Tribolium castaneum: one gene and its partners. The protein of the gene in region 3 binds, or shares a complex with, the protein of the main gene of each other region. Links are inferred from orthologs where the notes say so. Each region holds a gene or a part of one and is shown on either strand. Other genes may lie near its edges. The genes, in order: Brr2, U5 small nuclear ribonucleoprotein 40 kDa protein, cysteine-rich PDZ-binding protein, SmD2, SNRPG, Sf3b5 and Tango4.

The links.
Region 1: cysteine-rich PDZ-binding protein (region 3) and Brr2 share a complex: the UniProt entries of both Homo sapiens proteins name them as parts of the minor spliceosome. The link is inferred for Tribolium castaneum from reciprocal best matches to the Homo sapiens genes CRIPT and SNRNP200.
Region 2: cysteine-rich PDZ-binding protein (region 3) and U5 small nuclear ribonucleoprotein 40 kDa protein share a complex: the UniProt entries of both Homo sapiens proteins name them as parts of the minor spliceosome. The link is inferred for Tribolium castaneum from reciprocal best matches to the Homo sapiens genes CRIPT and SNRNP40.
Region 4: cysteine-rich PDZ-binding protein (region 3) and SmD2 share a complex: the UniProt entries of both Homo sapiens proteins name them as parts of the minor spliceosome. The link is inferred for Tribolium castaneum from reciprocal best matches to the Homo sapiens genes CRIPT and SNRPD2.
Region 5: cysteine-rich PDZ-binding protein (region 3) and SNRPG share a complex: the UniProt entries of both Homo sapiens proteins name them as parts of the minor spliceosome. The link is inferred for Tribolium castaneum from reciprocal best matches to the Homo sapiens genes CRIPT and SNRPG.
Region 6: cysteine-rich PDZ-binding protein (region 3) and Sf3b5 share a complex: the UniProt entries of both Homo sapiens proteins name them as parts of the minor spliceosome. The link is inferred for Tribolium castaneum from reciprocal best matches to the Homo sapiens genes CRIPT and SF3B5.
Region 7: cysteine-rich PDZ-binding protein (region 3) and Tango4 share a complex: the UniProt entries of both Homo sapiens proteins name them as parts of the minor spliceosome. The link is inferred for Tribolium castaneum from reciprocal best matches to the Homo sapiens genes CRIPT and PLRG1.

What each region holds. Positions count from the first base shown.
Region 1 is NC_087397.1:20,463,052-20,467,650, reverse strand, and holds part of Brr2 (U5 small nuclear ribonucleoprotein 200 kDa helicase), read right to left. Parts: intron 1,993-4,599; coding exon 1-1,992. UniProt on the Homo sapiens protein: Catalyzes the ATP-dependent unwinding of U4/U6 RNA duplices, an essential step in the assembly of a catalytically active spliceosome. Plays a role in pre-mRNA splicing as a core component of precatalytic, catalytic and postcatalytic spliceosomal complexes.
Region 2 is NC_087399.1:11,298,648-11,304,004, forward strand, and holds the start of U5 small nuclear ribonucleoprotein 40 kDa protein, read right to left. Parts: upstream 3,627-5,357; 5' UTR 3,529-3,626; coding exon 3,418-3,528; intron 3,370-3,417; coding exon 3,240-3,369; intron 317-3,239; coding exon 1-316. Other genes in the region: uncharacterized protein LOC656468, read right to left, coding at 5,146-5,252, 5,303-5,357. UniProt on the Homo sapiens protein: Required for pre-mRNA splicing as component of the activated spliceosome. Component of the U5 small nuclear ribonucleoprotein (snRNP) complex and the U4/U6-U5 tri-snRNP complex, building blocks of the spliceosome.
Region 3 is NC_087394.1:8,404,794-8,408,330, forward strand, and holds cysteine-rich PDZ-binding protein, read left to right. Parts: upstream 1-2,102; 5' UTR 2,103-2,219; coding exon 2,220-2,392; intron 2,393-2,450; coding exon 2,451-2,580; 3' UTR 2,581-2,756; downstream 2,757-3,537. Other genes in the region: Noc1 (CCAAT/enhancer-binding protein zeta), read left to right, coding at 1,454-1,582, 1,630-1,997; ras-related protein Rac1, read left to right, coding at 3,358-3,401. UniProt on the Homo sapiens protein: As a component of the minor spliceosome, involved in the splicing of U12-type introns in pre-mRNAs. Involved in the cytoskeletal anchoring of DLG4 in excitatory synapses.
Region 4 is NC_087395.1:17,190,360-17,193,695, forward strand, and holds SmD2 (probable small nuclear ribonucleoprotein Sm D2), read right to left. Parts: upstream 1,459-3,336; 5' UTR 1,359-1,458; coding exon 1,002-1,358; 3' UTR 978-1,001; downstream 1-977. Other genes in the region: Vps51 (vacuolar protein sorting-associated protein 51 homolog), read left to right, coding at 455-567, 613-721; serine-rich adhesin for platelets, read right to left, coding at 2,219-2,314. UniProt on the Homo sapiens protein: Plays a role in pre-mRNA splicing as a core component of the spliceosomal U1, U2, U4 and U5 small nuclear ribonucleoproteins (snRNPs), the building blocks of the spliceosome.
Region 5 is NC_087395.1:18,415,882-18,419,158, reverse strand, and holds SNRPG (probable small nuclear ribonucleoprotein G), read right to left. Parts: upstream 1,367-3,277; 5' UTR 1,239-1,366; coding exon 1,207-1,238; intron 1,162-1,206; coding exon 1,014-1,161; intron 959-1,013; coding exon 908-958; 3' UTR 854-907; downstream 1-853. Other genes in the region: zinc finger Ran-binding domain-containing protein 2, read left to right, coding at 1,723-2,403. UniProt on the Homo sapiens protein: Plays a role in pre-mRNA splicing as a core component of the spliceosomal U1, U2, U4 and U5 small nuclear ribonucleoproteins (snRNPs), the building blocks of the spliceosome.
Region 6 is NC_087396.1:17,669,108-17,672,566, reverse strand, and holds Sf3b5 (splicing factor 3B subunit 5), read right to left. Parts: upstream 1,342-3,459; 5' UTR 1,218-1,341; intron 1,164-1,217; 5' UTR 1,162-1,163; coding exon 904-1,161; 3' UTR 871-903; downstream 1-870. Other genes in the region: Mtap (S-methyl-5'-thioadenosine phosphorylase), read left to right, coding at 1-124, 174-203; spz6 (spatzle 6 precursor), read right to left, coding at 3,057-3,275, 3,322-3,459. UniProt on the Homo sapiens protein: Component of the 17S U2 SnRNP complex of the spliceosome, a large ribonucleoprotein complex that removes introns from transcribed pre-mRNAs.
Region 7 is NC_087397.1:4,268,281-4,273,016, forward strand, and holds Tango4 (pleiotropic regulator 1), read right to left. Parts: upstream 2,942-4,736; 5' UTR 2,829-2,941; intron 2,778-2,828; 5' UTR 2,746-2,777; coding exon 2,630-2,745; intron 2,578-2,629; coding exon 2,220-2,577; intron 2,173-2,219; coding exon 1,673-2,172; intron 1,626-1,672; coding exon 1,424-1,625; intron 1,373-1,423; coding exon 1,181-1,372; 3' UTR 1,122-1,180; downstream 1-1,121. Other genes in the region: Tbcb (tubulin-folding cofactor B), read left to right, coding at 13-132, 186-456, 509-725, 773-890; uncharacterized protein LOC656577, read right to left, coding at 3,324-4,256. UniProt on the Homo sapiens protein: Involved in pre-mRNA splicing as component of the spliceosome. Component of the PRP19-CDC5L complex that forms an integral part of the spliceosome and is required for activating pre-mRNA splicing.

The DNA of each region.
Region 1 (4,599 bases), on a different chromosome or scaffold from region 3:
ACACACAACTTCAATAACAGGCCCATCCTCCCCACCAATCAAATGCAACTCATCAACGATAAACAAATTCACATTTTGGACATTCTTTCTTTGTTTCCATCTTCGCGACAATACATCCCATTTTTCGGCCGTGCTTATAACAATCTGACCTTTTGCCAGTAACTTCAAATCAGTCCCGGTTTCACCAGTTAGGAGCACTACTTTCTTGCCCAAAATTTGCCCAAATTTATTGTGCCAATCGGCAAACGTTAACTCAGCTAATGCATCTTTCGGAACGAGATAAACGCACCGACCTTCCGGGTTTTTATCAAAAAGGCGAAGTATCGCAAATTCAGCGATTGTAGTTTTTCCAGAACCGGTCGGGGCACCAATAAAAATATTATCATCACCGTTGTAAACCGAATTGAAGACTTGCGTCTGAATTGGATTAAACTGCGGGAACTTGTCGTTATACAACGACTCGAATTTATCGTTCCGTAAGGCAGTGACTGGTAAAGGTTGCAAGTCAAGTAGTTCAGTTGGTGGGAAATTCTTCTCTGGTAGTATCAAATGTCGGAAAGAAACTGGTAATTGTGTCTCGGCTCCGATCCATCGATCTGACACAATACGTAAGAAGTACTGAGGTGGCAAAGGTTCGAAAATCGGGACAAAAAATTTAACCAAATGCTCGTCTTGTGAATACTTCGCTTTGAGCAAAAAATACTCATGGTGGAGAATAACCTCTGAATCCACATCTTCCACCAAAATCCAAAACGCTTCAGACGCTCCATGAAGTTTCTCATCCCACTGAAAGTCAGGCGTTATGGTCAATTCAACCTTCAACATTGACCTGGTAATTGGTTGAATATGCGTTGATAATTCAAGTTTGGGGAACTGATGAACGTATTTATGGATAGTCTTGCCCAACTTTGGGACCCGAATCAATTCGCCGATTTCGTTCGGTCCCAAATCGTATAAACGTTCCCATGGGAAATTTTTCTTTTCAATTTTCTTCACAATCTCTTCCGGCATTTTGCGAAATTGGCGCAACGGTGACATCGACTGCCACATTCTTTTATCAATCATTTTACACAAAGCTAACGATTTATCGGCCAATTGTGCCCAACCTCTGTGTAAAACAATCTCAAAAATAGCACGCATTAAACGCGAAGCTGATTGTGTTACGTAAACCATGTCGGACATAAGTGCGAAACCTTCCAGTTTTAGTTGAGAAATGTACGCTTGTAACAGTACGTTTACTTTGGCACTTGGTTCTTCGATACTTTCTTTGATCGGGATTGGAACACGTTCCATCAATTTTTGCAACTCAAGTTTCTCTTCCTCACGGACTGTTATATTCCTGAACTCAGACGATAGGGAAAAAACGCGGAACAATTCAATTTCGCTCAACATTGGTTTGAGCAATTGATTGTAAGTTTGCATCGTTTCGTGGGTGCAATAATAATGCGAGGAAATGCGTCCCAGTTCGGTTACTTGAAACTGACCGGTTTTTCTGTCATATTTAACCAAACCACTACGATCGAGATACAATGCAGCTGTATGTATTAAATCAGCTCGATGTTGTTCCAATAACGGATCTTGTTTGAAATGATCATGTGAAACACCGTACAAAGTTGGTTGTCGAAGCATTCGAATGTATAAATACGTGTAACCTAACCATGTGACGGCATCTCGTACATTTTGTACGGTTCCCAAAACAATCTCAGCGTTTAACATGTCTGATAATTTTGATATCATTTGAGATTCGATGGGTAATTGTTGGTTCAATAGTGATAGATAGTATTGCAGTTCGCTGTGATTGGTTATCAATATGCCTTCACCTCTGGTATCGTATTGAGGTCGGCCGGCACGACCTAACATTTGAAGAACGTCCAAAGCACCCAATTCAACCCATCTGCCTTTTTCTGGATTGTAAATTTGGGTTCCTTTTATTATGACTGTGTGGGCTGGTAAGTTTACGCCCCAGGCAAGTGTTGCAGTTGACACCAGCACCTAGAAGAAATTATAAAATTAGAATGTTTTTTTGTTATTCCACACGTTTTATGAAAACTGATTATTTATACAGGCTGCTCAAAAACTGGCGCACCAACTCAGTGGTACTTTGTTGAGAAGCATGTGTGGATCACGGGAAAAATCTTGAAAAAATTCCTAAAGTCATATTTTAAAAAATCTGGAGCTACAAACTTATTTTGTTAACTTCTTCAGTTTTCATTATTTTTTAATGTTTTTATGTTTCACACTAAGTAATCGTTCCCTAACACAATGATGAACAACTATTTTTAAATTTTCCATCAGACTTTAGCAGTTTTTTTAATTTAAAAAAATTAAAATTCATAAAAAAAATCACAGTTTGTAAATGTGCCAACACTGGGAATTATTTCCTAGGAAACCGTTTCAAAAATAATTTATTTTTATTGTTGATCAAATTCTATTGCGATTATGACTGTTAGACAACGTTGCCACATATCATTTATTTAAAATTAGTTATTTATCAATAACTTTAATGCAAAGAATTTTTTTACTATTTTTACCTTTATATGTAACCAGTCTATCACACACCATTGAGTTGGTGCGCCAGTTTTTGAGCACGCTGTATGTACATTTATACTATCTAAATATACTATCTTATTTACTTACTTACTACTTTACTTACTTACTATATCTTATTTATACTATCTAAAGATACTTTGTCTGAGACTACCTAAATAAAACAAATTAAGAGTAATTTAAGGAAGGCATTTCTGTCGAAAAAATTGAGGTAGTTTTTAGAGAACTGTGTTTTTGAAATAAATGTTTATTGAATTGACAGCTAGCCCTAATTCTCAGTATGTTTATAACGAAATTCTTACACAATATTCTCAGAATTTGCTCCCTTAGCTTACGTCTTAGCCAGGACTAAATAATTATTGGTAAGATTACAAAATAGGGAAAGTAAAAATATAGTCTCTTCAATGAATTTAATAATTAACAAAATGGTACTGAAAATCAAATCTCGAACAAGTAACAGCAAACTAATTGAAGGTAACAAAATTTTTAAACATCTTTGATAAAAAAGTCCAACATCTGCTAACTGCCAATGAAATGTCAAATGGTAATGCAAAGCAATAACATACAGAGCTGTAGTTGCAAAAATCGGAATTTGTTGTAATGTGAAGTGGTGATCTTGTTATAATAGATCCGGAAAAGGTTTAACGGCTTTAGATGAAATGTTTTAATAGATGTTAGCTACCTTCTAAATCTAAATCAGCTGATAAGTCAGTCTGCTCGTTAGGCGATAGTATCAAATTAGAAAAGTGAAAAACGCTAGAGCATACACTTGGTTTTGCATCTACACGACTCAAATAGGGTGTGAAACTTCGTTTTTGAACCATATTTTCGAAACCAATTGATAAAATAAAATTTGATTGTAGAATTGCCTAAGAGTCATTTAATTATTACGAAAACGGGATAATCTACAAAATTTCCAGTTGCTGCTTTTCCGACTCATATTTTTTTGTGACGGTCTTGACGTTACTTATTTATTGCTTAAATCGATAGAGTAGAGTCCGCAAAATGACAGATCGTCCACGGTGGTAGGAGTGCGCAGAGACGAAAACTCGTCACGGACGAGTCCAATCTATAAATTAGGGGTGTTGGCAGAAAACAGTAGCGTGGCGTGTATTTACATGTGTATGGAATTCGTCTTAAAGTTTAACATTTCAATATTACTAGTTATAGTAAAGATACCAGTAGAAACATTTTTTGCAATAAACGCGTTTTTACTCGTTACTCATTGTGTATTTTTATTTATTCGACCTCTCTGCTTTGTATTTCTAGGAAATCAACGTGTATTTTTATTATTTCATCTTGCTATTATTGAATAGAGAAAATCGTAACAACTACAAATTATAAATCTCAAACCCTTCTTGATCACAGAATATTTTTTTGCTACGCCACTGCTCGATCTCCCCACTCGATGAAGTACGCATTGGCTCCGCCTATCGTGGTCGTTTACAGAGTTTCCGAGCTCTAATCAATTATAGCTGTCAACATCTTTAATAATTTTCCTGATAATAAATCTTTTGCATTCTGGTATCACTAATTCTCTGTGTATAAATGTTTTGCTACATGAGAACCCTTTTCGAGTATGTATTTCTACCTAACATATAGTGAAGCTAAAAAAATGGAAACAAGAAACAATAAGTAGAAATCCTGGGTCTGGATGAAGCAAAGTTTCTAATCAAGAACAACATGAATTTCCACGAGTATTTAAATTATAATTAAATCATGTAAATCAGCGAAATAAAAATTGTTCCATTTTATTTTGTCCACAGATACTTAGTTACAATTTTGCTTTTTTTGCAACTCAAATCAATGAATTTCAGAAGTAACAATTTTTACAACCAGAAAATTTTGGAAATACATTTCAATTTGCTCAATTGACGTTCTGAAAGCACAATGCACTTTTTCCATTTTTTTGAAAATCTCGAGAAATCTTTTAAATTTGGTTTACAAACCGTACATCATTAGAAAGCTTATCAAAATTGCTATTGATAGGTGTAAGCAAATACAGGCTGTTCCATTTGAAAAAAAATGAGTTATTCAACTTTTTGCGTTTTG
Region 2 (5,357 bases), on a different chromosome or scaffold from region 3:
ACTTGATAATTTGAGTTGAAAGTTGTGACGGATTGTTTTTTGCGAATATCCCATAATTTAATCGTGGTGTCATCGCTGCCTGAGACCAACATTTGAGGGCCTCGTCTCGCACCTTGGACCGAATTAACAAAAGTAGTGTGACCTTTGTATTTTTTAATTCTTTGACTTGTTGGTAAATCCCAAAGGCCAAGCGTGTGATCAGTGCTGGCTGTGAAAATGTTAGTGCCATCTGTCGTGAAGTGGAGCTCCATGACAGCACCCGTGTGGCCACTCATTACCGATAAATTTTCACACTCACCGTAAACGCTCCAAACGACTGAAATCGCACATGTTTTAAACCAACATATTTAGTCTAGACAAATAGGCCTTTAAACCAAATTTTTTGATGAAGATTGCCGTAAAGTATGTAAAAACGACTCTTTTTTTTTTCAATACTTAAAAGATGTTTTTTCCAAATTCTTCAAAATAGGTAAGAGCTAAGAAAAATATGTAGATCTTTAAAACTAATCAATTGATATACAAGACAATAAAATTTAATTTTACTTTGAGATCTTGAGAAGATAATAGTGAATTTTATCGTGTGCAATACAAAATTTTATTCCATCCTCCATTATTTCGATTGAGTTACTGAGCTATTTTGATTGACAGTTATAAACGTCAAAAACTCAACAAAAACAACAATAGTTGTGAACAATATTATTTCTCTAAGTGATAAAATTTCATTTATCCTTGACGATGGAATAAATAAAATTTTAAATAAAAATATAGTTTGGATTCTTTTAATTTCATTATGAAAATGAACAGAGTTAGAGTGATTAGAAGTAAAGAAATGATTGTACAACTTAAAAAAACAGAATAAAATCATAAAATTTTCTGTTGAATTGAATGCGGAAGACGTTTTTGAATTTGGTATTGCCTTTATTATAAAAAAATAAAATTTTTCGAAAAACTATAATTGATAATTTTCTTTATTTACATCCTCATATGTTCCTTCTGAATAAAGTTAGAAACCTTTTTGGAGAAGATCCCTAAATGAATATAAGTTCAGACGTATATAGGGTGAGTCTTAACTTACACGCATAAATTTAGGGAATGATAGCCTTTCTAGTAATAGTTATTTACAATTTACCTGTAGTAGGTAAAATTTTACAGCGTGAAGTTTTAATATTGAAGCTCGAAACGAAGTTGAGGGCTTTAATACAAAAATTGAACCCTGTAAAATACCTAACGCACAAATAACTTGCAAAACTGGTTGGCCAAATATCGCTAAAAATAGATAAATAATTACCACTCAGCATTTAGATTATTTTACCACGCAATGTCAACATTTTACTTAGCAAATGACTAAATAGTAGTCATTTATACGGACTAGAAAATTAAAAAATTCTAGAATGAAACCATAAAATTTTCTGTCCAATTATTCTACAGAGTAAACTTAATATAACACATAAAATTTATATCTTAGTTATGGCTTATTTTTTTCAATACACAAATCAATTTTATTTTTAGAAACGCTAGTCTTTGACATCCAGTTATTGAGAAAAGACATGTTAAAATAACATTTTAAATAGCCACCAACTTTTTTGTTTACTATTTTAGTACTACACTCCTTCATATTTCTGATAAATATAGGGTGCTCAAAAACTGGCGCACCAACTCAGTGGTACATTATTGAGAAGCAAGTGCAGATTACGGGAAAAATGTTTAAAAAATTCCTAAAGTCATATTTTGAAAAATCTGGAGCTACAAACTTATTGTGTTAACTTCTTTAGTTTTCATTATTTTTTTTATGTATTTATGTTTCATACCAAGTAATCGTTCCGTAACAAAACGATGAATAATTATTTTCAAATTTACTATCAGATTTTAGCAGTTTTTTTAATTTAAAAAAATTAAAATTCATCCAAAAAATCGCAATGTGTAAATGTGCCAACACTGGCAATTATTTCCTAGGAAACCGTTTCAAAAATAATTTATTTTTATTCTTGCTCAACTTCTGTTGCGATCATGACTGTTAGACAACGTTGCCACATATCATTTATCCAAAATCCGTTATTTATCAATAACTTTAATACAAAGAATTTTTTACTATTTTTACCTTTATATGTAACCAGTTCTCTACCACACACCAATGAGTTGGTGCGCCAGTTTTTGAGCACGCTGTATAATAAAATTCAAACAAATGGAGCAAAAAATCAAAAAACAAAAAGAATAAAAAAATGAAAGAGGTAAAAAAGTTATGAATAATTTTACACAAGGGCTTTATTTTTCTGTTTTGGCTTTATTTTATAAGAACGATTGTTTGTTTTTCCTTATTTTTTTGTTTTTAGGTTGTTTTCATATTAGTTAAAAAACAAAAATAAAAAACATGCACCCCTGATAAAACAAAGCAATAACAATTCGTGTATACATATAGTCGATTTTTTTTATAATCAACTGTCAAAGAGCCGTCAGGTTAGTATTACCATAAATAGTAATTTTTACTAAGATGGTACTAATTTTTACCTGGCAAATTTAATTTAATGGTCTTTAAGTTACAACACGCACAACACATTTTTTTAAAAGGCTAACAAATTCTAAAGACTAACGAATTCAAATTTCATTGGCTGCAAAAATTGTCCCGAATGTCAAATCTGGTGTGTAAAATGTCAAATACAGAATACAGCTAGTTTCGAAAGTGATTAGACATGAGATTTTGGTGTGATACAGTCTGGTCTTTATCAAAATTTTGACACTGACAGTTAATTATAAAAAAGAATGAACTGTAGTTATCAAATTATTTTTAACAGCTAATGTACCTGTACAAAATTTAAAAATATTCTTGTTACAAATAGTTTTATTTTTGAATAAATAAACTAGTTCAGAATATTTTAAAAATGAACATTTGCTTCCATTTATTTAACTTGGTAATTTTTAACTACTATTGGAACCTGCACACAGGCGGCCAATTGGCATGGCTCAGCCCTGCTAACATCAACTGATGAATTATGTTGCACAAACAATTGGAAAAACAGCTTTAAGCTTATTATTTACATTTTTATCAATAACAATTGAAAATTTTTTACTCTTAACTTTCGAATTATGTTAACCCCCTGAATCAAATTCCCAACGCACGGGCGTTAATTTTAAGACACCCTCTATGTACTTCAAATTACTATATTAGATATTCAAGTAAATCCTCCAAAATTTTGATATGAAGACCTATTTGGCTGAACCTCATTGCAAAAAAAACAACTTACAAATTCTACGGTCGAAACCTGATGAAGCTACATATTGACCCTCAGGGTGGAATTCCACTGTGAAAATCTCACCCTCGTGGCCCTCCAGTAACATAATGGGGGCAAATAGATTGGAAGTTCTCGCAGGGGCCTGAAATACATGATTTGAGGAGGGTTTTTGAGGTTAAGTGTTACTAACCGCTTGTAAGACCGATTTGTTTTTGTTCGATGTGGCCACTTCATTTTTCGATTTTTTGCTTACGGGGACTAGAGATGATGAATCTTCGGCTCGACGTTTCTCAACAACCATTTTTGGTGTTTTAAACAAAAATTGGGAGGAAAACAATAACCTCACTTTTTAGCGTCAACAAAACGAAGCGATAAGCGCCCTCTGGTGGAGAGCACGAAGTACGATTTGATTGTATACCCTGTTTCAATTATATAAAACAAATAGTTATCTCCTTTGGAATAAATGTTTGACAACAATGAAATGGTTTCCCAATGTCGATATCTAAAAATTATTTGGTTTTTTACTTGCCAAAATTTCGAAAACGATTAATATTAGCTCACTTAACTCACTTTGCGTAATTCTTATTACTTTTTTGCTCTAAAATTGTCAGTATTTTCCCGGTACTAACAGATTTTTGTTAGTAATTTGCAACACTGAAACACAATTAAGTTTCTCTTGGCAAATATTTGAGGTACAACCCCATAAGACTGTTGCATTATTGCGCCATCATTTTTAGTGTGTCGTACTAATTTTTTGGGATTAGAAACTCCTGTAATTTTATATCTTGTTTCATCTCCTAAGTTTAGGAGGAACCCCCGGAGTTTAGGCTCATTTTCAAACTACAAACATCTTTTTTGCGTAATTTTACTAAAATAGATTGATAAGAATGATATCTTCCAAATTATAGTCGTTATTATAGTCTGCTTTGTTTGATTCAGTAAAGTTTCGACTTAAAAACTACATATTTTCTTAAATTCTGTCAGAAGAAACTTAAAAATCAGCAAACTTGATCAAAATTAGATACTAGATACTAATGTTTTTTGTGTAATTTTGGCAAAACAATCCAAAAGGTTGTTAAATCGTGTTAAAAATAATGTTATTTGTCTATTTTCAGATGTTTATTTAATATTTTAGCACTTTTTTTCGTGAAAAAACACCGTGAAAATCCTTAAATTAACTAAAAATTGACTTGACTTTGGTTTATTTTGCTCAATTTTTGAACTCATTTAAACTCTAAAATAAATCAGTTTGTAAAAAAACTCTTAAAATGACACTAAAAATCATTAATCGAAAATCCCAAATTTGTTGGAAAATTATGTTATCTGTGCCTTTTTTAAACGTAGAATTTTGTTAACAGACCGACATTGATTAATGATTTCTTCCTCTTAGACGATATTACAGAAAAAACTTAAAACACTGATTGCATGCCAAAAAAATTGCCTAAACATTTGCAAATATTTACGTACGTTTCTTCCAGAATATGTATATCCTGTTTTTATAACTCATTTTAATTAATTTTTACTTAAAATATTTACTTCCGTGCCTACGGAGAGTGTGATGCAACTAATCTAATAAAAATATTTAAAATAAGTGCTCAAACATTAAACTTTGCGACACGCAAAGTGGATAAATATTTGCGGCATTCCATCAAAGTTTGCGTAATTTCCATATTCTGTAAAATGCATGTGTTAGATGGAAAGAAATAGCAAAATAAACATTTATTAAAGTGGATTAGCAGATTATTTCAACAATAATAAATAGACTAAAACCTACGTCATAAAAAATTAATATCTTGCAATAATATCATCAACAACAAATCGTGTTACACATTTCACATTTTTTTAGACTAGTTTTAACTAAAATTAACTCCGTCAAACAATTCTCTGTCTTTGGTTGAATAAAAACACACAGTTTTTCCTAATAGTGCCGTCGGAACGGATCTTTAATATAAGCCCCACGTTTGGTTTCTTCCCGAATAAAAGTGAAGTAACTGAAGACCACAAGCCACATGTAGACGTAAATAACTGAAACAGGAAAATAAGAAAAACGAAACTATAATTTTTCAAATACTTACTAACTGCAATGATGCCCAAAACAATCCATAATGTACCCTCTGTTGATTTCCCATT
Region 3 (3,537 bases):
TTTGAAACAAAAACTACATTAAAAATTGTCTCTAGTCTTTAAAAAAAAACATTAAAAATTACGTTTAGCTCACATTTGCATTTGTAAAGTAAATGCCAATTAAATTTTTTAAGTTCTAAAGTTGCAAAGATTTTATTCTTTGTTTCGACTTTATTCCAATTGTTACAACTTTAAAGTTATGTAAACTTCAGTGAAATATTTAATAGTAATGCGACGGTAAAAAAATCATTATATTTGACTTCAAGACTTGAACCATTAATAAAAAAATGTCTCTAAAATGTAAAAAAATGTCATGGAAAAGGAACCATGTTGATTTGAAAAACACATTTTTTTGATATTTTTCTACTTAGAATCGTAAATTTTATATGGTGCATATTTTATTGAGCTGCTATACTTTGTGTTAAAGTTTTGTGTATTTTTTTGTTAAAATTGTATAAATATTTTTCATTAAAACTTTTTTTGCGGCGCAGTTTTATAAGTGCTTCATTATTTATATTTTATCTGAAAACAGTTAGTCGATTGAAAATTTCGACCTTTTATGTTGTGTACTTGTGTACTTTTACCACATTATGGAAAATGTTTCAAAAAAAATAATTACAGTCGAACTTCGATAACTCGAATAATTGGTAACAAATTGGACCGAAATTAGCTTTTTTACGTTGAATTTTTTTCCACACCATTCACACTTTGAGTTAGCAACAATTTTTTATGTATCTTTTGCACAAATCAACTTTTAAGCATTTGTTGTCTTAGAATGTTATAAGAAGTAATAAAAAAAAATGTTTGCACCGCACAAAATATATTAAAACATATTTTCTGAACTTACCTTTAAATTTTAATTTTAAATTTTTTTTTAGTTTTTTTTTTTGAAAACACGAATGTTCGGTAACTCAAAATATACTTTTTCAAATTATTGTGTATGTTATATCAAGTAGGTTGAGGAAGTCTAAATATTTAATTTAATTTAATGACCGGAACAACATTATTAATAACAAAAATCTTTTTTTCTATATTAATTACTTTGTTAATTTTAATGAATTCTTTTTCTACCTCAGAAGCTTGAGTACACGTATTTATTGGAAAGAATAATTATAGAACAGATTAAGATTCATAATTAATATAAAAAAGTATATTTTGCTGACAACTGCTAATTTGTAGAAAAGAATTGTAGAAAAATTTTGAAAAGAATTACATAGATAAAAAAAATTAAATATTTATTAGCAAACGCTGGAAACCAGACAGAAATGCCTAAGTTTGTTGTAGATTAAGTTTACAAAAATAATAATAATCTGAGTGATCAATGATTTTAAATCTAAGTTGGCCACAATAACTATCAAATCTAAACGTTAATTTTTGTACTCGATTTTTAAATTTCACCTACAATTTATAGTACCAATAATAAAAATAAGTGTTGCCAACTTAATTTCAAAATGTATTTTGCTCTGTTTTCCAGAACGGACAGATGATGATGATAGTGATGACGATGATAGCGAGATGGAGGATGCTTCTGACGAAGAATTGTCAATGGACGAAGATGAAGATTTCGATGAAGATGACCTTGAAATGAACGATGATGACAAAAGTATATTTTTTGTAATAATAAAACACAAAATTATCCTTTGCTTGCAGTGCTTCTGGGTGACTTAGACGACGATGAAGACGAGGAAGTTGTTTTTGACGATGAAGAACCGAAGTCAGCAAAATCAAAGAAGAAAAAATCCAAAGACACAAACTCAATATTTGCATCAGCTGAAGAATTTGCCTCATTGCTTGACGATGAAGGTAGTTCGAAAATAGCCCCAGGAAGTTCAAATGCGTTATCAAATAAGGATAATGCGAGCACTAAACAACTTGCCTGGGAACAGAGTAGAAATAGGTGGTTGAAGGGATTTGATGAAGTAGTTGGCAAAAAGAAAAATAGTAAAGGTAGCAATTTTGGCAAGAAAAGGAAAGGTCCAAATAAATTTAATAATAAGGCAAAGAAGAGGAAGAATTAATAATCGACAAGGAAGCAGTCGATTGCATTTTAATTAATATAATTCTTTACGAATCCACCAGTTTTGTGTTTTATTTAATTCGTGTTGGTTGTATTTCGCGAATATACAACTACACATAACCCATAACCTAACTTTTCGTGACGTTTAACAGTACGTTCTGTTTATTATCTTCGTGTTTACAATTTCGTACCAAATTCACAATAATTATCGTGTTTTGTGAAAATGGTGTGCGAAAAATGCCAAAAGAAGTTGGGCAAAGTGATAACACCAGATCCTTGGAAAAGTGGGGCTAGAAATACAACTGAGTCAGGGGGTAGGAAAGTTAACGAAAACAAGGCTTTAACAGCTAGCAAAAACAGATTTAATCCATACACGTCCAGTTTTGAGACTTGCAGGTTTGTTAATGCAAGTAATCCTTAAAATTGATTTACTCTTCTCATGTTTTTATTGTAGAATATGTAGGCAAAAGGTGCACCAGGTTGGGTCACATTATTGCCAGTCCTGTGCTTATAAAAAAGGAATTTGTGCGATGTGTGGTAAGAAATTGTTGAGTACGAAGAATTACAAACAATCGTCAACTTGAACTACATTTTGTGTGTTACTTTTAAACAAAATTAAGCCTATTCTAAGTTTTAGAGCAATTTGCATTGTTTTGTAGGTACTGTTAGGTTTTCTGTCTGTATACAGTGAGTGTACGACAATTTAATTATCTTGAATGATAAGGTGTGTAATTATATTTAATAACTTATGACAAAAGTTTTTTATTTCATTTTTATGATAACATTTTTAACTTATTAATTCATTTCTACCTATTCTATCCCTATTTCTTTTTTGTTATTAAGGTTGACTATACATTATTAAAACGCAACTATCAAATATTCTAGAATTATTATTTGGACTTTTTTATAAACTAAAAAACTGTACCTGTAATATTATTTCCACAAAGTTAAAATACGATTTTGTCTTATTGCACTAAAAAAATAATTGAAAAAATTGATGTCTGTCGTATTATTAAATACTTCTAAAAGTGGCTACACTGTATATAACCTTTTAGAAATGAATTTCAGCGATTGGATTTTAAAAATTCACTTCCCTGTATATAAAAAAAACGTGACGAAGTCGTAACAAAATTCAATGAATCAGACAAACCTCTTTGTTTTCCACCTTGCAGTAATTACTTATCTCAGTGATTATATTTTTTGTTGGTGACGTTTTATCCATACACTTACACAATACTGCCGTTTAATTTTATTCAGTTTGGTTCTTGCTTTTGACGCAAACGGACGTAAAATTAAAATTTTCCAGTTCAAAATTTCAAATTTGTTGTGGGTAGTGATCGCGGTTAGTGTGTGGTATTGTAATGGATTTCCAAGAAGAAAGGGAGGAAACTACCCGGATTAAAGGGTTAGTCTGCAGTACCTACATTCTTTTTAGAAAAATTACATTAACTCTGTAACATTTAATTGAACCACATTGTTCTTATTTTATTGTTTTTTATTTCACAACCATTTTAACAGATAGGGCACTGCACACTTTTTTA
Region 4 (3,336 bases), on a different chromosome or scaffold from region 3:
TAAGTTTGTTGCTCCAGATTTTTTAAAATATTACTTTAGGAATTTTTTCAACATTTTTCCCGTAATCTGCACTTGCTTCTCAATAACGTACCACTGAGTTGGTGCGCCAGTTTTTGAGCACCCTGTATAAATTTATTTGGATTTTTTCTGTCATAAATAAAAATTTTATCGTAAATTGTAGGCAACGTTGGGTCACCTATCCAGATGATTATTTTTTTAATTTTCTTTAAGAATTGGTTTGTTAAATTTTTCATAAAAAAAATAACATTTTCCTTTAATTAACTTAACATTTGACAATGCAAAATAAATGTTTAATTCTGAATTAAATTTTACTTGCGCTTTCTGTAAACTGAACTACATCTAGTTGGCATTCCGATAATTTACAGCAGAGGCTAGTTTATTAAGGCATCATTTTGTGGAGGGTTGAAGCATTTAATCAAAAAATAATTTCTAGACGTTCATGGAGTGCGTACGTCTGAAGACTTTTAGTAAATTTGGCCTCCAACAAATTCAAGTGGACACGCATTACTTGCAGTTGTATTTGTGGCGATTTGTTGCGGATGAAAAGTACGTCACGAATTTGAATTTAGTGAAATTAATTGAATTTTCCAGCTTGGTTCATTTCCTCCTGGATGAGATTTTGGGATCAGCAGTCCACAGGTGCCTGGAACCGATTTTAATGGAACCAAGCGTTGTGGACATCATATGTGAAAGGGGTTAGGTCATGCAGCTTGCATAAGTTACAAATATTTATTATTCTTTTGTATTATCTTGTTTAAATAAAAAGGAGAAATTTTATCACATTTTGTTGTATTATTTTTATAGATAAATGTTAAAAAACCGTTCAATCTTTCATTTGCAACGACATGAATGTGATATTTCCACAGTATCACGTTCGCGGTATCAATCAACCGCAGAACAGAAGGACCACACGAGTGAAGTGATAGGTAAGTGAATTTCCTCAATAAACACTAAACTGAAGATACAAATTTTATTCCTAATTAACCACTAGCCGTAGCTAGGGGGTTCCTTACAACTATAATAACCGCATCGCCTCGCAGAAACATTTTCGAAATGAACCGATCCTTATTTACCGGCTTGGCTTTCTTCTTCCCCTTTCCAGGCCGGGGCAGCTCTGTCCACATTTCCTTCACATTCTCCAACACTATGTTGCAGTGCCGATCGAACGCCTTCACCCGCCCCAGCAATTTCTTGTTGTTTCGGCAGTTTATCAGCACCTGAGTGTTGTTCTTCACCGACTGAGTGAGCACCGAAAGGGGGCCCGTGTTGAACTCTTCCTCCTCGCGAGCCTGAAGCTCCTCGGCCGTCATTTCAGACTTGGGTTTCGTTAAAGCCATTCTGACTCGGTTTTTGCACTTAAAACAACACTTTTTCCGGCACAAAAATAGTTAGGTTAGGAATTTGAGCGTTTTGGATGCGTTTGGGGAATTTTGCAATGCGCATGCGCAAACTGGGTTTAATACTATGGCGGCAGATTCAAACATTTAAAGTGAAGAAAACAAACTTCGAATTAAATCAACAATTATTCTTCTCACATTTAAAGTTACATTAAGATTACTCTTTTGAATAATTAATTAAGAGTTTTAACATACTCAAAAACCACGATCTAAAAACTAATTACAAAATCGAGCAAATAAACCAATTTATAATCCATTGAGATGAAGACGTTAAATATAAGAGCAACAAGCTATTAATGAATCAGATAGGGGAATGCACCGTTTATTATAATTTAACTAGAAAATGTAATAAATATTGCAAATACGAGTATTGCAGTGCATTTTTCCAACGAAGGGAGTTTAATTCCCAGCAATTTGTTAGCCCCAGAATCGAAAATTAAATAATTACGATAAACAATAATCACTCTTTATTTATAGTAAGTATAACAATAAGAGATAACCAGTGCAAGTAATTATTCCAGCAGCGTGTTTATTTAAGTATACAAGCAATGCCAACGCAAATAATAATAGAATAATCATTAAAATGCAGTGAGGAGCCGATAAACCACCCCGTCCCGCTATATAAATTAAATACTTGAAGAAACGCACCAGAAGAAAGCCTCTTGTCCACCCGGTATTAAGTAGTTGCGCCGAAGGTGATGTTTTTGAAATCTCCTCGGTCTGGCTGCTTTATACCGCATGGATGAAAATCACCAAAAAAAGTCTGTTTTCTTGTCACACGTTGTCAGATTTAATAATTCTTAATTCGACTTCCTCATTTGCGGCGTTTCCTGTCGCCGCCCGTCTAAGGTCCCGCATTTGAGGCTTCGTTTTTCATGAGTTCGGTCTTCGTGTGCCTACCTTAATTCAATTAATCAATTGACCAGATGAATGGAATAAAGTTCATATGTTTGACATCGACGATGAACATATTTAAATCTCGTTAGGGGCCACTTCGGACTAAATAGGATAATAGCCGATGCTTACGGCTGCTTGCTGAATGCCTCTTGTGTCGAGATACACGCGCTGTATTCAATGATATTGTTTGTGTTGGGCAATTTTCTATTTTTGACGCAAGTGTTTATAAGAGTGGACTTTTGCTCAGGTAATTTTTGGGGAAATGTAGAGTAGTTCTATGTAGAGGAGTTTGATTTGGAAATGATTTTCCGGGCGTTTATACGCGAAAATTTTCCAAGCACTTGCTATTAGTGTTAATTTTGTAATGTTTTAGAGAGTAAAGGGGTACCAATCATGCAATCAAACCAATCAACGGCGGCATTACTACACATATTTTTCGAATGACATCGAATCTCATCTTTAGTCCTTAGATTTTTTCTTAACAACAGTTCCAATTTCATAAATTTTCTGATAAAAGAAGAGTCCAGGCAGAAGTATATTTTCTGTTACAGTTTTAATAATCTTCGTTCACCCATTAAAAAAAAATCCTATAAATAAATTTACTAAATATCTAAAGTTGATTCATAACTTGACTGTATCTAATTAATGTAAGCTAAAATCGCCCTAAACCACCTAGCAAATGAGTAATGCTCATCCAGCGGGAAATATTATAGGATATTCACACAAAAAAAGTTATAAATAAAAAATTAAAATTAAAAGAAAACAAAAAACTATCAGAAATTTTACAAAAACAAAACATTTTCTTTCCTAGCAAATAAACAAAACAGATAAACATTTTAAAGAGGGCTTTAGCTTAGTAATAATTATTTAGTTTTCTGAAACTACATAGATAGCTATTTTTGTATAGCCTTAAATACGATGTCAAAAATGATGATGTTATAACTTTTGATAACTTAACCAAAAAAAAAGTGAACTCGATTTGTTAATTACACTAGGTAGTTTAAAAAATTTTTTTTCTTCT
Region 5 (3,277 bases), on a different chromosome or scaffold from region 3:
CTGAAAAATATCCTGAGGCGATCAGAAAAGTCTTCTAAACTAATTAAGCCAAGTGATGGATTAAATAAGTATTACAATTGAATTTTTCGTATTGGAAAAACGAGAAAAACTTGGAGAATTTCCAGGAAAAATAAAAATAGAACTCTCTCGAGGGTGGCATTATTAAAATGCTGTTTTGACATGAAAAAGACGGGTCAATATGACGTTGGAAAGTCTCTTAGTGTCATCTTCGGAGTTTGATTGCCGATTTTATCCCAATATTACCCGTCACCTTTCACAAGATTCTATTTAAAAAATTATTCCATTTAATTTGGGGATTGTAGTTATAATGTCCATTGTTTCGGGCACAATTAACTAATTAAAGCGAAATCTTATAGGGCAATACATTTCAGCGTGTTCCTTTGACCTAGTCAAGGGTGGTTGCTTTAAGACTGTTCCTCAAAAAACTCATTTTCCAAGGAAATGACATTAAAATCGAGTGGGTGTTAATTTCGATCCGGATGTTTTCCCGGAAAAACTGTCAATGGGGGCAATACCTGACGCTGATTGTGATGTGGCTCTGGAAAACTCGTCACTACACGAAAATTTTCACTGGAACGTCGCCGCCGAGACGCTTTAATGCCAAACTAGCGAACGTTTCCAATATTTTCCCGACGGTGGAACAGTGGCGGCGCGCATGCGACATTCTCTAAGCTTTTCATACACTGTTACGGACAAACCGCTCGAGGAAAACAATACGAATTGAATTTCTTTGTGAATGAACGCACAAAAGCGACGACGATAATGCTTTCCCTCCTATTACCCTAATTCACTTATTTCCACCCTACCCCAAGCCCAATAAAAGAAAACTCGGTCAGAATCGAACGCTTTTATTACAAATAATTATCGATTAAGCCAAAATTACAAACTAAATCCTATCTAGAGCCTCCAACATGACGATACTGTTTCCCCGGATCACCTGTAATAAACATAACCTCAAATTTCAAATCCACACTAATTCAAAAGAAACGTACCACCATCCCTATATTGTTTTTCTTGCCATCCCGGCACTCTTCCACACTCTCGTCCACCACTAGATTCATAAAAGGGTCGAAACCGCGCAAAATACCAACGACTTGTCGGCCCCCATTCAACTTCAAACACAATTTTTTGTCCATAAATCTGCAAAAAAACTAGTAATACGTTCTACGACAAAACAAGACTCACTTTTTCAATTCCGGAGGATGTGCTTTCGACATTTTGTGTACTTTTTTGAGTTTTTAAAATTTAAAACGCTCTTCAAACGCTTGACACAAACTGACAGATTTGACAGTTGCTAAGTACAGGGCATGATCAGTTGTCCCAATTTTTTCACATTTTTAACGTATAGTTAATGCAAAAAATTAAACAAAACAAGTCATTGGTTTTGGTGATAACTGTAATCAGAAATCGGTAAGTGTTGCGTTGAAATAAGGCAATTGTTGTTTTGGTGATCGTGTCCTGATTGGTGTGGGCAACGTTTGGCGTCGAAAATCCCTCTGTGCTAGTGACATTTCGGTGCATCTTCGGTTTGACGTTACTTTTTTATCAACAAATTTGTTGGAATAACCGCTGGAAAAAGGTTCAGTAAAGGTAAAAGCAGTACCAGTACCGCCAGATGTTAACATTTGCTCCTCCGTTCCCTCTAGTAGTGCTCCTTCTAGCCACTACTCTTTACGCCTTTTCTAGTCTAGTATCGCCCCCATGGAAGAGGCCGAAGTGACACCGCCCCCGCCGCCGTCGCTGAAAAGCCCGTCGGCGTCGAACGAGGGAGACTGGACGTGTCCGGACTGCGGTAACGTAAATTTCGCCCGCCGTAACAACTGTAACCGTTGTTACAAAAGTCGGGGGCCGGTGTCGGCGAAAAAGCGCAAATTGGGGCACGAGATCGGTAAAGCGGCGGCAGAGAAAAGTCGCGGGTTGTTTAGTGCCGACGATTGGCAGTGTAACAAATGCGGTAACGTGAATTGGGCGCGGAGGCAGCAGTGTAACGTTTGTAACGCCCCCAAGTTTGGGGAGGTGGAGGAGAGGACGGGGTTCGGTGGGGGGTATAACGACAGGGGGGTGGTCGAGTATAAGGAGCACGAGTCTGACGACGAATATGACGAGTTCGGGAGGAGGAAAAAGAAGAAAAGTGAGGAGGTGAAGGAGATGAAAAATAGTGTAGATAAGGTGGAGAAGAAGGTTGAGGAGGAAGAAGAGGAGGAGCAGGAGGAGGACGAGGAGGAGGATGACGACGACGGAGACTTATCGAAATATGATCTGTCGGATTGGGGGGATTCAGGGGAATCGAATAGTAAACAAAATAACTCAAGATCTAAGTCGAGGTCACGGTCTCCACAACACGAAAAAAAAAAGTCATTAGTCGAGTCGAAATTTTTATAGACATTTAGGTGAATAAATCTGCTTTGTATGGTGGTAAATTCGAGTTAGGTATACACAATAAACCATTACTTTTATTGGTGCCTGATTTACATTCTTCTTCACCTGAAAATCGAATAGATTCTAGCACCAAGTGACTAACGAAATTTGTTAGTTTTTGTAGTTGTTACGCTGTAAAATATTTATCGTCCACGAGTAACCCATATTAATTGTAAAATTAACAGTGACAACTGTGCGTTCTTCAAATCAGGACTAAAAATCTTGATTTGAGTAGATCAACATGTGTAAACGTGAATCCTTTAGGGGGATTTTAATCTGATGTTTTCTTGTTTCAGTGACTTCCTAAATTTTCATTGCGCCAACCTAGGATTTTCTTTACTTATCCATATAAGCACTTATGTACGTTTACAATAATTACAATAAAGATACAAACAATTTATCGTGTTTTATTTACATTTTCATGATGGTGTCAAATTGGTGGATGCGCCGGGAAAACAATTTTGATTTGGAATTAAATATAGCGTGTGTCAGAACTAGCTCCCCAGAGAAAAAGGTGTAAGAGGGCGAGTCAAAACAAGAAATTATTTGAAAAAAAAATGTATCTCAACTGGTAATCGAGTTAAGACATCCTAAAGTTGGGCCTCTCCGAGAGCAATAGATTAGAGATTTAGTGAATGCTTGAATAGGTATTTTTGGTTGTACTTAAGACCATTTTAGAAATAATAAGTTCTTGTATTATAAATTTTGTCAAAACGTTATTCAGATTCTGTCAATATGACTGTAGTAGTCACGTTCATAATATTTACGTATTTTTAAAGCCTGGTAACCTACTTTAATTCAAGATCATTTCTGAGGTTGAGCTTCTGGGATTGGTGAT
Region 6 (3,459 bases), on a different chromosome or scaffold from region 3:
TGTGACTGTTGCTGATGTTCTTGCCACATTTAAGAAAAATGTGACTAAAGTTACTAAAGTGATTATGGATGTGGTTCCTGCAATTGCTAAAGAAGACTGGAATTGGACTATTGACGAGCTTCAGGTTGTCTCGCTTTTTTTCGTAAGCATATTTTTATTATTTAATTTTTCAGGACTTGGTTCATAATAGTGTTATGAAATAGAACCCAACTTTCTTGGCCTTTATAAGCCTTATACAGCACACATAGTCAAATTTTTGGTGTAGATTGGTTTCATTTGTAAAAAAAAGTCCAAGGTTGAATCTGTCATATTTTATAAGCAAGCTATATTTTTATAATTGTTACATTTTACAGTCAATTAAGTATGCTATTATTGTCACTATAATTGGTAAATAAAAAATAAATATATTGAAAATCTGTTTTTTTTTTATAAAAATGCAGCGAACTAAAGCTAAGAATATTCTCTTAAAGTCATAAATTATTGTACTAGAAAAAATTATATTCCTAATAAGGGTAATAAATAAATACATTTTTAAATGCCCTTCCACTACCTTTAGAAATTTTCCTCCATGTTTTTATTAAAGAACTTGAAACACTATTTAATTTCCAAAACTTTTTATTCGATTAAGGAATACATATCTTCGGAATGATTTTAGTGATATCTTGCCTATGTAATACAGTAATACCTATTTAAATGTAAGTTAATTTTGCGGCGTGTGTGGAATACTCTATTAGTGCAATTAGTATTGACACAAATAAAGTAGGTATTCTATTCTAATAAAGGCGAAATGAAATACAAAGTAGACCTTTCGGCTACAATTATTTTAGTTATCGGAAGAATTCTAAAATGGTCTTTTAAAAAAAACAACGATTATATGAAAATTTTTATTGACTTTACTATAATCTAATCCTCGGGTTTATCTGGAGGTGGACCACACGGTTGAAGCATTTTCTCCATTAGATTAAACCTAACTCGGGCTTTTGCCTCGTTCTCACAAATCGCAAAATAATTTAACAAATCGTGGTGCCCCAAATAACTGGCGTAACTGTCTCTATGCTGGTTCAGCAGCCATTCGTATTTCGTTATTTCAGAGTGGCCTGTTCCGATATATTTCGATTGGAGATGCTCCAACTGGCTGTGGATGTTGTAGCGGTCGCCCATTACTTTTACAAATTGCAGTAAATTACGAAATAGAGACACACAAAGAAGAAACACACTTTTGTTTTGATGCTCCTAAGTTCACCTAACCTCGAACTCAACTCACTACTCATTAGTGTTAAATGTTAGGGTTGCCACTGTTGTTCGGCAGCAAAAAAGTCCCTAGGTTTTTATTCCTCTCGCTAACATTTATTATACAGGGTGTGTTGTATTTCTGAAATTTTCTTTAGGTGCCACCAAAAATGCTATACTATTTTCACTTGAATAACGCGCAATTGTAAATATGAGCCTTAAAAATCCTTCGTTTTGTAGTGTAACAGGATAGTGGTCAGTCTCTCTATTATTATATTATATTTTTCGTTTATAATACACGTGTATTAACATATATCAGTAGGAGTCGTTTATGGCTATTAAAGTACAGTGTACTTTAATGAATTTAGGGATATTTAGTTTTCAAGAGTTTCATCGATAATGCGTGGAATACACGTACGATCGATTTAATCATCATTTCTTCTTTATTTATTATTTATTACCGTCACCAACTGACACGAAATTCCCTAGACGACAAAAAAATTTAATTAAAATAAGAAAAAATCATAAAAACATTCTCGTTTTATAAGGGTTTTGGCGCACTCATCCCATAGAAAACTTGTTTTTAAATATACTATTATTTATTATTATATTATGTTATGCTAGTTTTTATACTTAGTAATTTTTTACGTATATAGACATTATGTGTTTATTTGGTCAGTTTTTAACTGTTTTGAGAAAAAAGGAGACGAACTGAAAAAATGGGGAAAAATACGTATATTATTAGCTGTCTCAAAACTATAAAAACGCTAACGTCGCATTTTCTCTCAAAATTAGCTATTATAAATTATTCATGCACTTCAAAAAAATAATAACTAATGTAATTTATAGTTTCAATAAGAGATTTAATCAATAATAACTATTTCATATTTTTATCAATCTTATTTAAAAATAAAATCGGTAAAATGCAACGTTGGCGTTTTTATAAATTTGAAACAGCTAACAGACATTTTTTTGTGGAAAAAAATTCTTGAGGCCATATTTCAGCCGCTCACGCTAAATTTGTTTAAACCTAATAAATGGTTAATGATAGAAATATGATATGGCAGACTTTCTCGGAAAAAAGCATTCTATACACTTTTTTCAACCATATTTGCAGCGTTTTAAAAAATATGGTGAAAGTTTGCTTTTTTTAATATTGTTTATGATAATTTTTGTGCTTTTATTTCTTGCCATCGAAAATGTAGGCCCACTTTCATAATCGAATTTAACGGAGCATTAAATTAAATGTTTTTTGGAATGTGTGAAAGATTTGTGAAAAATAAACATCTACTTTAATGCTCTTTTAAACCCGATTATGAATGTGGCCCTAAATGCTCTATCAGCCTGTAGTTTTTGTTTGCGTTATACTTATCGTAATTTAAATATAACCATTTTTTATCAGGAATAACTGCCCCAGATCAAACAACCAGTGTCATGAATAATATATTTCTAGAAAATTTTTACACAATTATTATACAATGTCAAAAATTTTGCACGTCCATTACCTAACCCTTTTGAAACACAGTAATTTAATTTTTTATCAAATTACTCTATTTCATAACATTTCTTATCGCCTATTCATAAATTATGTGCAAGTCTTAAGCCTGTGAAACGGTGGAATAGTCGTAACAAATAAATAAAAATATATTAAGTTGCTTTTTCCGCTCCCTCGTCGCCTAAATCGGGAGAAATATCACAAAAAGGGGATTTTAAATCAAACGGTATCGGCCGGTTTTAACCCTTCTCCCCCAAAAATCGAAGACTAGACTACACTTTTTGAAATAAAAATCCCCCTTTTCAATCATCTAATATACAGTCTTGAAAAATTATAGTTCAGTGGTGGATTTCCTCCTGACGTATTTATTAAAATAATCGGGTCTCCAACACTTGCAAGAGCCGGGGATTAAGAACCAGTCGTAGTAGAGTCGCACTTGGAAACAACCAAGGGCGTCTACTCCGTCGCAATGATTGGGTCGGGATGTGGTCGAGGAGTCCACTGGGGCGGCCTGGAGCCCGGCCCTCTTGTGCAAATACTGCTGATAGTTCTGAAAAAAAATAGATTTTTGCAAAACTTTAACCGTTCACATCTACCTGAAAGTCTTGCACTGAGGGAGGCTGCGATGCCGCCACTGGGCTTCGCGGGGGGTTCGCGGTGTCACTGTTGCTCAAAACAGTGTCGGGGTAGTAAATCTCGGCAACCAGAAGGCTTGACCATCGCGGCGAAGACAA
Region 7 (4,736 bases), on a different chromosome or scaffold from region 3:
TATTCATGCGGTATGGCCGATTTTAAAGTAATTACATCTGATTTTGTGAGACTTCACATAAGCACTTCGAAAGACGATGTTTCGTTTGAAGAAAAGCGATTTCCTAAGGACATAACCATATCGGACCTAAAGGTACAAATTTTTGCATTTTCTGACGAAGTCGGATCGCAACTTCAATATTTCAGGCAAAACTCGAGTTAATAACAGGAGGCAATTGCAATACGATGCAAATTGAAGCGTACAACAAGGATAATAAGCACATTTGTTCACTTTCAAACAATGAGGCTTTGCTTGGTTCTTATCCCTTGGACGATGGAATGAGACTACACGTGATTGACCAGTTTAATATACGCAATGAGCTTGATTTTGGAGATGTGCCTAAATATGAGTTACCCGAGGAAGAGTACAATAAAAAGACAGATTCAGTCAAGGCATTTTTAATGAAAAATAAAATGGGTAAATTGCCACCAAAACCCAAGATTTTCCAGAATAAATTGTAAATTTTCAGGGCAATATAACGAGGAGAATATAAAAAAGAAAGAAAAGCAAATGTCAGAGGAAAAACAACTGGCAGAAAGCACGCCAATTGGTTCAAGATGCAAAGTTACTGTAGCCAATGCTCCCTGCAGACTTGGCACTGTGATGTACACAGGGCCTGTTGAGACCTTACCTGGATATTGGATAGGGGTCAAGTATGACGAACCTTTGGGCAAAAACGATGGAACGTAAGTTACGACCATCAGTTGAAAAAAAATTCTAGCTTTTGTTGCAGATTTAAAGGCAAGAAATATTTTGAATGTGCTAATAATTATGGCGCCTTTGTTAAGCCACACAACGTTGAATGTGGCGACTTCCCTGAGGAAGATTACGACTTGAACGAGGAAATATGATTGGTAACAAGCATTCCAAATTCGCAAACGAATTAATTTATTGTTTTTATCAAATTAAAAATTATTTATCGTAGAGCATTTTAACCTTTACCCTCACGATTTTACATCTAGAAAATCGTAAGTTTTGTGCACTTCTGCGATTATTAATGGTCTAGAAATGTCAAATGGTTTGATTAATTTTCGGAAAATTTGATAAATAATGCAAAGTTGGGTAAAATTAAAACTTTTTAGTAGCTCATAAAATTTTATTTATTATTTTTATAAAAATACAAATTATTTTAATCATAGAATTAGAATTTCCTCCGTTTCAAAATATCGGGTTTCCAGTTAATCGGATGCGTTTCTTCAGTCGCAGTTTCATCCTCTTTGTAGATTTTGATGGTCTTGTCAGCTTCAGTTGTGATTAATCTTGAGCCAGAATTGTCGAAAATCATTGAGAATATTCCAGCTTCACTGTCCATTGACCCAGGTTGTACTGGGGCCTAAAAATGTAACATTAATCGATTGACTTCCTTCAAAGTTACAAAAATTACTTGTAATCTTTGGAAATTGTAACCGGTCCTCCAATCCCAGAAATGTAAAGTTCCATTATCGCCCCCTGAAACCAGGACGCCTTCTGGATTGACAGCGAGACAATTAACAATAGCATTATGACCGGACAAATTCTGTATGAATTTCCCGTCAGGACATTTCCACTGTTTTATGTTATCGGGTGAGCCCGACGCGAACATGTTCCTACAAATAATAAAATAATTACAAAAAAAATAATTAAACAATCGTACAAAGTCGGGTGGAGAATCACATCTCTAACGCTCTTTTTGTGATTGGTAAGCGTACAAATTGATTTCCCAGCTGCCAGGTCCCATAATCTGATTGTGGTATCATGAGATCCTGTGATAACTTGAGGTTCGGAGGCTTGCGCCACCACGCTAGCTACAGTATGCGTGTGGCCGGTCAAAGTGTGAACATTTGCTTTCGTCCTCATGTCCCAAACCCGGGCTGTTGAATCACGCCCTGCTGTTAATAAAACATCGATTGTGGGGTGAAGCGCTAGAGAGTATACAGCCGATAAATGGCCATGGTAATGTCTAATGACTTTGTTGTACTCCAAATCCCAACACTTGACCTGTCTGTCTTCACCGCAACTGAACAAATAAGGGTGTCTACTGCTCACAGCCAACCCTCTGACCGTGCTCACATGCCCAGTTAGGGACACTTTCAACTGCCCACTTGCCAGGTCCCAGATTTTTATTATTCGGTCCGCTGCGCCGGTCGCAAACCACTAACAAAAAAACGGTAACAAATTTGCTGCCAACAAAAATTTTATACCTCATTTCCTGGCTCCACCGAAACACACCTGACCCACCCCAAATGCCCCGCAATCACCCTGTATAGCTTCCAAGGGGCGTGCCATTTCGGCTTTGGCATTGTGGGGACTTTTTTCATTAAATTGGCGAGCTGGTTTTGTGTGTTATTTTGGACGCTTCGTGTCATCAAACTTGTGTCAGTGTACGGTACAACAGCCCCCTCGGTGTTTGGGGCCGCGTCGTCAGTGCGTGTGCCCGGTGGTGGGGGGTTTGGCCCAGCTTCTGCCTCCCGTAAGTGCTTCATAGCTTGCATTTTCTTAACGTCGTCAAAGACTAGGCCGTACAAGTCACGGGCTTTTATGGCTTTTCGCACCATTTCGCTATTTAATTCGTAATATTAAGGGCTGCTTGTTTTTGTGGTTTGTTACTCACGCTTTTTCGTCCACTGATGGCAGTAGTCCCTGGTTTGAGAGAAACATGTCGTGAGACCGTTTCAAGGAACGGAATACTAACGTATGTACGGAGTGTCTCTGCACGTCTTCGGTCATTGTGAAGACGAGTATTTAACTCCGGATATTTACTGAATTGTAATACTAGTAATTAATCTTCGGGTAAATAAACAAAATCGTACTTAACCTCTCTGCAAAAAATCACCAAATCCACCATTTGGTAACTTTTGGTTCGTAGAATAGACAGGAAAAGAAACTACTATTGACTCAACCGTGGAGGGAGTTTGAGTTTTTTTTTTTTTTAACCAAAAAATAGTTAATTTCCATACCAAATTGAATTGAATTTCTTATTTGGGTAGTTTTGGTCACAAAATAAAAGCACGCCAATTTTTTTAACATTTGTATTTTTCAACAATTATAAAAATAGATACGAGTTGTTTCACTTATAAATATTTCGTTATTAAGTCTACAATAAAATACATAGTTTTTTGACCACAAAACGCATCTAGTTTTTATCTGTACAAGTCCCAATGTCAACATTCCTGAGCCCAGATAAAAGCAATATTACACAAATTATTTACATTGTGAGTCGACTACAATAAAGTAGCTTTGCCTAGTGCCCCACTTTGCAGCGATGTGATTAAAAATGCAAACAGAATTATATAATGCAAAGAAACTTAATCCAACGGAGTGATCTTGACTGAAGATCCGCGAGATTTGCGATACCTTTGAAAGTCTCCTGCCTGGTAAGGTAATGCCCTCATATTACTTCTATAATATGGTACATCATACGGAGATATGTGTAATTGATTGATTGGTGGTGACCGATTTCGCCACAAAACCGCCAATAAAGAATAAAATCCACAAATGGTATTCGAAATTAAAGTCATAAAGTTGACAATAATTGGGGTGCAAACCCTGATAAGTCCTTGCGTTTCACGCAAAAGTTTCAGGAGATAGTCTAGAAGGTACTTGATGGTGTGTATCAAGAAAGTGATCAGTGTTGATAACAAAAGAACCATAAATATGGTGGCTTGTTTAATGTTGGGCCAAGTCAAGGTTTCAGTAAACAAGTTCCTCAACTGATCCTTGAAAAACTCCTGAAATTTTGCACCCAATTCACCCAAATTCTTCTGAGAAACGTCTTCAAAAATCTGAGTGGGAGTTATATTATGAACTGGAGTCTTCTCTCTGACTGGCCTCACAACTTCAAGCTTGACTCTAACTTCATTGTGGAAGAATTCAACGTTTTTGATTTTGTACCAAAAACTCCCAAAAACCTCTTCGTCCAGACTCACCCACAAATTGTAACCTGCCGGGGCCCCGATTGTTTTCGGCTCCGTGATACCAATCCACACATTTTTGGTAAAATGCTTCAAGCAGCGCTTCCTCACTGCTTTTAAATTCGCAATAAGGTCGTGTTCATCGTCGCATATTTTAATTACATCGCGGTACGAGTTCAAAGGTTCAACCAGCCTTTTTTCCAGAAACGTACCGATAAATAGGGAGCTCTTGAGCATGTGTTTTGCAAATTTGCGCACTCTTGTCTCCTCGTCATCGTCGGAAAGGCTTGCAGACGAATTTCGGCTGATTTCACTGATTTTTGTCATTTTTTACAACTGGGGTCTTGACGTGTTTCTAAGAACTGTTACGTAAGAACTACATTTGTGTACTTCCCCCAGTTACTTACGGGTGCTGAGTTGTCCAAACATAACAGATCAAAAGAAAAATACACTTATTTGCAACATTTTATTTACCAACAACTGTCACTTTTTTGACGTTACGTGACCCAGTGACATCTGTTAGGTATTAATAATAAATTAATTAAGAGTTTTACAACAAGACACCAACTTATTTTATTCAGAAACTGGTGTAAAACATTAATTTAATTAAAATGGTCCTCGTAAAGCTTGCATAAATTGTTAAATCAATAAATTGAGGAATGTTTTAAACCCGGCGCCGCACATCGAGTAACCAGTTGCCCAATGCCAGCAACCTAATAACCGCGAACGTTCCCAGTTAACGAAGTTTCTTTGAATTTGTGTTGTTGACGAAAACGCTGTTTTCAGCGTTTTATTTTATAATTTCCG